Linked DNA regions of Drosophila melanogaster. The protein of the gene in region 1 purifies or fractionates together with the protein of each later gene. This does not show direct contact. Each region holds a gene or a part of one and is shown in the gene's direction. Other genes may lie near its edges.

Region 1 (3,876 bases):
AGTTCCTTACCGTGCTGGAAACGAACGTGTGGCTTTGCATCCTGGCTGCCTACTTCTTTACCAGCTTTCTCATGTGGATCTTCGATCGCTGGAGTCCCTATAGCTATCAGAACAATCGAGAGAAGTACAAGGACGACGAGGAGAAGCGCGAGTTCAATCTGAAGGAGTGCCTCTGGTTCTGCATGACTTCATTGACACCTCAAGGCGGTGGCGAGGCTCCAAAGAATCTGTCTGGCCGTTTAGTGGCCGCCACCTGGTGGCTATTCGGGTGGGTAGTTGCTCTTCATTTGCTTGTAAACTCTTTCCTTTTTAAAAGAGTTTTTTTGTTCTTCCCTTAAGTTTTATCATTATTGCTTCGTACACGGCCAATTTGGCTGCCTTCTTGACCGTATCACGTTTGGATACGCCCGTTGAAAGCTTGGATGACCTGGCGAAGCAGTACAAGATCCTATACGCTCCATTGAATGGCTCATCTGCGATGACATATTTCGAGCGTATGTCCAACATAGAGCAGATGTTTTACGAGATTTGGAAGGATCTGTCGCTGAACGACTCCCTGACCGCCGTGGAGCGCTCCAAGCTGGCTGTTTGGGATTATCCAGTGAGCGACAAGTATACCAAGATGTGGCAGGCCATGCAGGAGGCGAAGCTACCGGCCACCCTCGACGAAGCGGTGGCCCGGGTTAGAAATTCGACAGCTGCCACGGGTTTTGCCTTTCTGGGCGATGCCACCGATATACGCTACCTGCAGTTGACCAACTGTGATTTGCAGGTGGTGGGCGAGGAGTTCTCCCGGAAACCCTATGCCATAGCTGTTCAGCAGGGATCGCATCTCAAGGATCAGTTTAATAATGCGTGAGTAATGGGAAAATATAGATGTGAGCTTCTTCATATCGTTGTGGTGCTTTAGAATCCTGACCCTGCTCAACAAACGACAGCTGGAGAAGCTCAAGGAGAAGTGGTGGAAGAACGACGAAGCTCTGGCCAAGTGCGATAAGCCGGAGGATCAATCGGATGGCATCTCGATCCAGAACATTGGCGGCGTCTTCATTGTCATATTCGTGGGCATTGGAATGGCCTGCATCACGCTGGTCTTTGAGTACTGGTGGTACAGGTACCGCAAGAATCCGCGGATCATCGATGTGGCCGAAGCCAATGCGGAGCGATCCAATGCTGCTGACCATCCTGGCAAGCTGGTCGATGGTGTGATCCTTGGCCACTCGGGGGAGAAGTTCGAGAAGTCAAAAGCTGCACTGCGTCCGCGCTTTAATCAGTATCCGGCCACGTTTAAGCCTCGTTTCTAGAATTACTCGTATACCAATGAAACGAATATTATGGTAAAATGAGCACTCGGATGTCTACGTCTAGTTTTAAAGAAATCAGTCACTTTGTGCACTTTTATTGAACTCTTAATAAATGTTTAAACAAAATAATTGTAAAACCTTTGTATTTATTATTTTTGAATTTCAAATAATATTTCAAAAGCCGCTGGTATTTCTAGTTTAGTATTAAATACCGCCTTCTGCTATCGAGAAATCGACACCGATAGGTTCGGACAATAAAACGCCCCCGATATCGATAGGCCCGATAAATTCGGACAAAAAAGAACAACATAAAATTCCGCCCGCACCCGCGCTCAACAGTTTTGTTTTTAACTAACCGCGATGGGAGACAGTTCAGATGAGGAATATCTGGGCACGGACTGGCTGGCTTACAGCGAACGCTCCGACTGGGAAGATGTGCAACCGCTCGCCCAGGACGACGGTCCCAATCCGGTGGTGTCCATTGCTTACAGTCAAAAGTGTGAGTAATGCATGCGGCTTTATCTCTGGATGTCACTTTATCTGAGCAAATATCTCCGTACATCGTAGTTCGCGAGGTCTTCGACTACATGAGGGCCATAATTGCGCGGGGGGAGAAGAGCCAACGTGCCTTGGACCTAACCACGGACGCACTGCGTCTGAATCCGGCTAACTACACGGTCTGGCAATACAGACGCGACGTTCTGCGCGAACTAAAGGCTGATCTGTATGCGGAACTGGACTATCTGACCGAGGTGATTGGCCAGAACTCGAAAAACTACCAGGTTTGGCACCACCGTCGCGTCATCGTCGAGATGCTGAACGATCCCAGCAACGAGCTGGAGCTTACTGAGAACGCCCTGGTCAACGATGGCGATGCCAAGAACTACCACGCCTGGCAACATCGCCAGTGGGCCATTCGCAGCTTTAAGTGAGTAGTCGTATGTTTATTAAGATTTACTTTCTATAAATTAATGTCCACTACTTTTAGTCTCTATGACGATGAACTTAGCTTTGTGGATCGTCTCATTAGCGAGGATCAGCGCAACAATTCGGCCTGGAACCAGCGCTTCTTTGTGATCAAGCATTTTGGATTCACGCCGGAGCTGATCCAGCGCGAACTGTCGTACACGATGAATCGCATTCGCATCATCAAAAACAACGAGAGTGCCTGGAACTATTTGGTGGGCGTGATGCGGCAGGGCGACAGTGGAAATGCCCTGCTGAGCAGCTACCCGGATGTCGTGGACTTTGTGGAGGAGCTCTACCAGGCTGGCAATCGATCGCCCTACCTGCTGGCCTTCCTCATCGATCTCTACCAGGAGCAGGCGCTCCAACTAAAGGCCAGCGATAGCGATCAACTCGCCCGCAAGGTGTACGGTCTGTGCGAGGACATGGCCACCAAACACGATGTGATTCGTCGCAAGTACTGGCAGTATGTGGCCAACCATCTGAAGAACCAGCTAAGCACGGTCGAACAGAAGTAGCAGCAGTTGTCCAGGTTACAAATCCATTATTGCTTAGTTTTAAGCCACATACGACGTACTTAGGCCTTCTTCTTTATACATAAATAAAATTTAATTTACCGTCAAGTGAGCTGAGCGCCAAGAATGTTGCAAAACCCCAGTCACATACTACACATTGCCACATGCCCTGATGGGCGGCTGTCTTCATCTTTGCCGCGCATCCGTCCGACTCTGTTTATCTAAGTGAGCTGTTGTGTTTGCACACGTAAATTTCATTAACAATGAGCAGATAATTTTAGCGCAGTGTCTGCGCCAGCTGAGGCCAGTCGGCGGCTAAAGTGAGCTTGTAAATTATGCAAACAATTAATATTTTTAATGCTGGACTTTAGCAAGAGCTTCTGTTTTGTTTGCAAATGAATGTGGGAAGTATCGTAAATACTCAAGAAAATATTTCTAGAGCAAAAACTATCTTTACCTTCAGCTATCTGCGTTTAGTTGCCATCGCAATCGTTATCTTTTTCGTCAGAGACGGAAAGAACCTTCAGTGTGCTGTCTCAATATTGTTATTTATTTAAATTTGCTTCTTTTAGGTTTTTGTGTTTGTTTTTTTTTTTCTCATTCGTTTTTTAGTTCGAGTACATACAATATAGCAGTTTGTAATATATAACTTTTCATTTAATTTGATTTTCTTGCATACATATTGAGATTCGGTTTTTGCATTTTCGTAATCGAAAGCCACCAAAGATGATCCAGATTCTCATCGAAAATCATCCAAGGGGCCAGTGGGAATCAGGAATTGGTAATTTGGAATCGGGTTTGGGGGCTATGTACTTAAAATGAAGCAGAAGACATCTTTGGCGTGTTTTTTATTTCGTTTGTTTCTTTTTAGTTCAGCTAAATAGGAGCAAAATCATTGAGTACTCGTTTGCGTAGTTTAATAAAATTTCGTAATAGTAAAATATATATTTATTTTGTATTTTTGTTTGGTTTTCGCTTCGTTTCGTATTCCCTTCATGGGGTTTTGGGTTTATATGTATATATATAAATTTGAAAAAAGCCTATAAATCCAAATATGTTTGGTTGGTACGCGACCATTTAAAATCAAAGCA
Region 2 (4,524 bases), on another chromosome or scaffold:
CTGACCGTCACCAATCGCATCAGGAGTGACAAAAGGGAGACGCTGGACTTCAATGTCGTCTCGAATGGGGAATGCACTGTGAACACGACCCATGGGGAGCAGGTGCACGCGATGGGAAGGATCTTTGGCGGGGATTTTGGCTCCGTCGAACCGGGCAAGAGTGAAACTGTCTCCCTGGTCTGGCCCACTGTGGTAGGTCCAATGATCATTGATTCTTATAGATTTACACTTGCATATTGACATATTGGCATATGAAATTGCACATTCCACATTTGCTTACAGTCTCTGTACAACCGTGTGGGCAGCTGCCCCATTCTAATCTCAGCCACAAGTGCCCACGCTACGGATGCAGTGGCAACCGCGAGGCAGGTGCTGCACTTTGACACCCGCTTTGAGACCCTGGATCCGCACGGCAACAAGCTGCGCCGGCGGAAGGATTACAAGGACTGTCGCAACTGGGACAAGGATTACCTGCGCAACTGCACACCGCTGAACTGTGAGGAGCGTTACTTTGGGAAACGGAGCTTTTTCAATAGGGAAACGGAACAGTGCGAACCGGTGACTGATTGCTCGGCCCCAGGCGAGTACTACGACATCTTCAGCAACGAGCGCGTCGATCCTGGCAATTTCGTGTCCGAGGAGGAGCTGGACCTCATTAAGCAAGGAAAGTTCGACTTTAATTTTTTGGATTTGCGGGGGCCACCATCGGTAAATATTGTTAATACCAATAACTTTTTGTTTTTACCTTTTCTAAAATATTGAAAATCTGCGTGCGTTTAAATACCCATATCAACGCATTCTCACAGGCGCCATCTTACGTATTTGGCTTGAAGCTCGTGCACTGCTTGCATCGCAACAATGGGGTCAAGCAGTGCGTGCGTATGTACAAATTTTTTGTTGAGGAAGCACTAAAGTAAAGTCGTGCCACATGCGTGAATATGGCGCCGTGGCTTAGTTGGTTAAAGCGCCTGTCTAGTAAACAGGAGATCGTGAGTTCGAATCTCGCCGGGGCCTATTGGAACACGATTTGAGTGTGCCAGTAATATTTTTTCTATTATATTTTCTATTTCTATCAAGCTATTATTTTTATATACTAAATTAATCTTACCGTTTAGCAGCATGAGCCGAAAGCCAACAAAGCGCTTCCTTACAAGAAAAATACCAGGCCAACAAGGCACTTTGTCCATTCCAAGCATGAGAAGTCAGATGATTGCGACAATTTGCGTAAGCTAACCCTGGCCGATTTTAACGACTGCTTTCAGCATTTGCAGGATGGTCAGTCCGAGCCGGTCGCAGTTGAACCCACAATCGAGAAGAAAATCAAGAAAAAATCGCCATTTGAGGTGCCCATGCTAACGCAGCTCTATTACGACTGGTATCTTCCTTTAAGGAGCGATAGCTGGGGGGAAGGCGGAGAAATCGGTGCCATAGGTGATCCCAGTCCACAAAATGTCTCATCGGGATCGGAACCCCTCATCACGTGGATCGGCAAGCTGGATTGGAAGGGCTGGCTGTTCCTGATTCTCAGAGGAAGCTTTTTCGTGAGTTTGTGATGTCGGTGCCCGAACAATGTAAATTTATATTATACAATTATTGCAGATCTTATTGCTAATTGTGTTTCAGGTTTTCGCCACTCTGACGGCCTATTTTATAGTGTGTCTATTTGTCTATGGATTTATGGAACTGTATGGCTTGTGGACTAGTGACGATGCACCCGAGACATTTATGTTGGACTCCAGTTCTCAATCCACCGCCTACAATCTCGTCACCACAGAAAGTTTGATGTCACATCGATAACCGAGTTTTAAGAATTTTAAATGTGAATTTATGGTCTTTTTATAAATATTTAATTGTATATTACTGGCTTTAATGTTGGAAATAATGAATTATTAAAATGTAAAATTTTTTAATATCTAGCCAAAGGAAAATAAATCGAGTTTTTGTATAGGGAATACCCTAATCAAATAAAAAGCAGTGTTGCAAGTTGAATTTACATCACACAAACAAAAACCATTCGCTTAAAATTCCTGCTCGGCAAATCTTTTTAGTTTATTTAATTTAATTTAACCGGCTCGGAGTAGAAATGGGAACCGAGGAGGAGCTGATGTTCCGCAACTTCCAGCGCCTGAAAAGCTACATCTTCGACGACGAGAAGGTGTCCACCACCACATCCCGCGAGCAAGTGAGTAATCCCCGAATGTCGCCCAGGAAAAGATAAGAGCCGATGAATACTTGCAGCAAAAGACGGAGAGTTCGGTGGAGAAATGCTTCGACCGCTTCGAGCAGATAATGTTCACCGACCCGCGCCTCACCCAGATCTTCCGGCTGGAGCACCAGTACTACCTGGACGCGATGCTGAGGCGGCTGCCGTCCAATTACGAGTGCCTGGACAGCAGTCGCGCGTGGTGCGTTTACTGGATCCTGCAGGCGGCCCAGCTACTTAGCTTTAACTTCGACGACCAGACATTGAACCACGTGGTCCAGTTTCTAAGCAAGTGCGTCTTTGAAGGATATTTCTCTAATAGGCATCCTTAATGCTCCAATCACTCTTTCATAGCTGCCGTTCGCCGACTGGGGGTTTTGGAGGAGGACCTGGACAGTATGCCCATCTGGCGCCCACCTATGCAGCAGTGAACAGTCTGTGCATCATCGGAAGCGAGCAGGCGTACCGTGCCATAGACCGACCGACTTTGGTCCAGTTCCTGTTCAGTGTACGTGACTCAGACGGCTCCTTCCGGCTCCACGTGGATGGTGAGACGGATGTGCGTGGCGCCTACTGCGCAATCTCCTGCGCAAAGCTGCTAAATCTTCCCGAGCCAGTGATCAAGGAGCTATTTGCCGGCACTGGCGACTGGATAGCCCAGTGTCAGACATACGAGGGAGGATTTGGAGGAGCCCCTGGTCTGGAGGCCCATGGTGGCTACACCTTCTGCGGAATCGCGGGCCTGGCGCTGCTCAACGAGGCTGATAAGTGCGACAGGCAGGCTTTGCTCAAATGGACACTGCGCCGTCAGATGACCTACGAAGGCGGCTTCCAAGGGAGGACCAACAAACTGGTTGATGGCTGCTACTCCTTCTGGGTGGGAGCCACCATTCCCATTACGCAGGCAACGCTATCCGGCGTCGATAAGCAAATGGAGCACACCCTTTTCGATGTGGAGGCCCTGCAGGAGTACATCCTGCTCTGCTGCCAAAAGCAGAGCGGCGGGCTTATCGACAAACCCGGAAAGTAAGGGATTAATGCCAACATTGTGATGTTTTTTAATGTAAAACCCATATTTTCAGACCGCAGGATCTCTACCACACATGCTATACTCTTAGTGGCGTTTCCATTGCCCAGCACTCGGAGTGCGCCAGCAGCCCCCAGGTCCTGGGCGACACCATTAACGAGCTACTGCCTACCCACCCACTGTTCAACATCCCACCAAAGTCAGTTGCAGCTGCCAGGAGCCACTTCAGCAATTCCAATGACACAGAGTTCTTGGGGAAAGACAGTCCCAGCAAGGAGGAGAGTTAAGGCTTCAGGTCAGGAGGAGGAGCCTGCGTAATGAGGACGTTTTGCTGGTGGTTTACCTTTAAAGAACTAAACTTGGTTTAATAAATTAATCTTTGAAATATTGTATTTTTCGCTTCTTGTATAAATGTACTTATTGGAAAAGGAATTGATTAAAATGTTTAACGTTTTCTAAAAAATATTTATGTCATATATTATTTCGAAATAAAATTATTATGTTTTCAAATAAATTCATGTGTGATTTTGTACAACAACCCAATTGCTCATTATAAAAAAAAATGAGATGAAACAAATAACTTTTATAAATGTGGCTTTGAATCCGAAAGCTATTATTTTGCCCCCAATGTATTTCAGCACGTTTATATGTGAATGGTAAAACATGAATAGTTTGCGTTGTGAATGGCATTTTGGGACTGATTTCAAATCGCAGCTTTGCCTTCGCATCCTTTTTATGTTCTCCAGCCACAGGACATTGAAGAGGAGGACGCCTGCCCAGGGCATTGACCGCCGGGAGTACATTGGTCACCTGGTCGATGAGTATTATACGACAACCAACATCGGTAAGGTTTTTATTCACGTCATTTTGCCGGTGTGAATTCATTTTTGATTTTCATTATTAGAGGCCCAGCAGCAGGTGACTGCTAATTTGGCCAATTTTGCATACGATCCCATCAACTGGTCGCATCTCCTGGAGGCGGACGCCTTGGATGTATTTGTGGCATCGCTGGAGACACAGGATCAGCTATTAAAAGTGCACGGAATTGCGGCATTGTGTAACCTTTGCCTGGGTAAGCAAACATTTGATTTTCAAACCAACCTTGTTCATCATATTCTTATTGCAGACAAAACGGCTGCCAAATTTATCAGAGAGCAGCTAAAACTGCTAACCGGCCTCTTTGTGCGCACTGATCACCCGGAAATAGTACTTCACAGCCTGGCGCTCTTTTACCAATTACTGGAATTTGGTGAACGGACTGAACGGGATTTACTTCTGAGCCCTGCGGTGCTAA

What was found.
Region 2: the proteins of Fnta (region 1) and Fntb purify together in Drosophila melanogaster (affinity purification with mass spectrometry, with the first as the bait; one large-scale study listed by BioGRID). This does not show direct contact.

The regions. Positions count from the first base shown.
Region 1 is NT_033779.5:4,828,396-4,832,271, reverse strand, and holds Fnta (farnesyl transferase alpha subunit), read left to right. Parts: upstream 1-1,578; 5' UTR 1,579-1,664; coding exon 1,665-1,803; intron 1,804-1,871; coding exon 1,872-2,232; exon of another isoform or gene 2,233-2,292; coding exon 2,293-2,788; 3' UTR 2,789-3,058; downstream 3,059-3,876. Other genes in the region: Ir25a (ionotropic receptor 25a), read left to right, coding at 1-268, 340-855, 911-1,304.
Region 2 is NT_033777.3:16,431,000-16,435,523, forward strand, and holds Fntb (farnesyl transferase beta subunit), read left to right. Parts: upstream 1-1,998; 5' UTR 1,999-2,083; coding exon 2,084-2,182; intron 2,183-2,238; coding exon 2,239-2,495; intron 2,496-2,557; coding exon 2,558-3,229; intron 3,230-3,285; coding exon 3,286-3,517; 3' UTR 3,518-3,741; downstream 3,742-4,524. Other genes in the region: CG31279 (uncharacterized protein), read left to right, coding at 1-192, 283-708, 1,116-1,541, 1,600-1,797; CG14881 (uncharacterized protein), read left to right, coding at 3,966-4,074, 4,135-4,302, 4,357-4,524.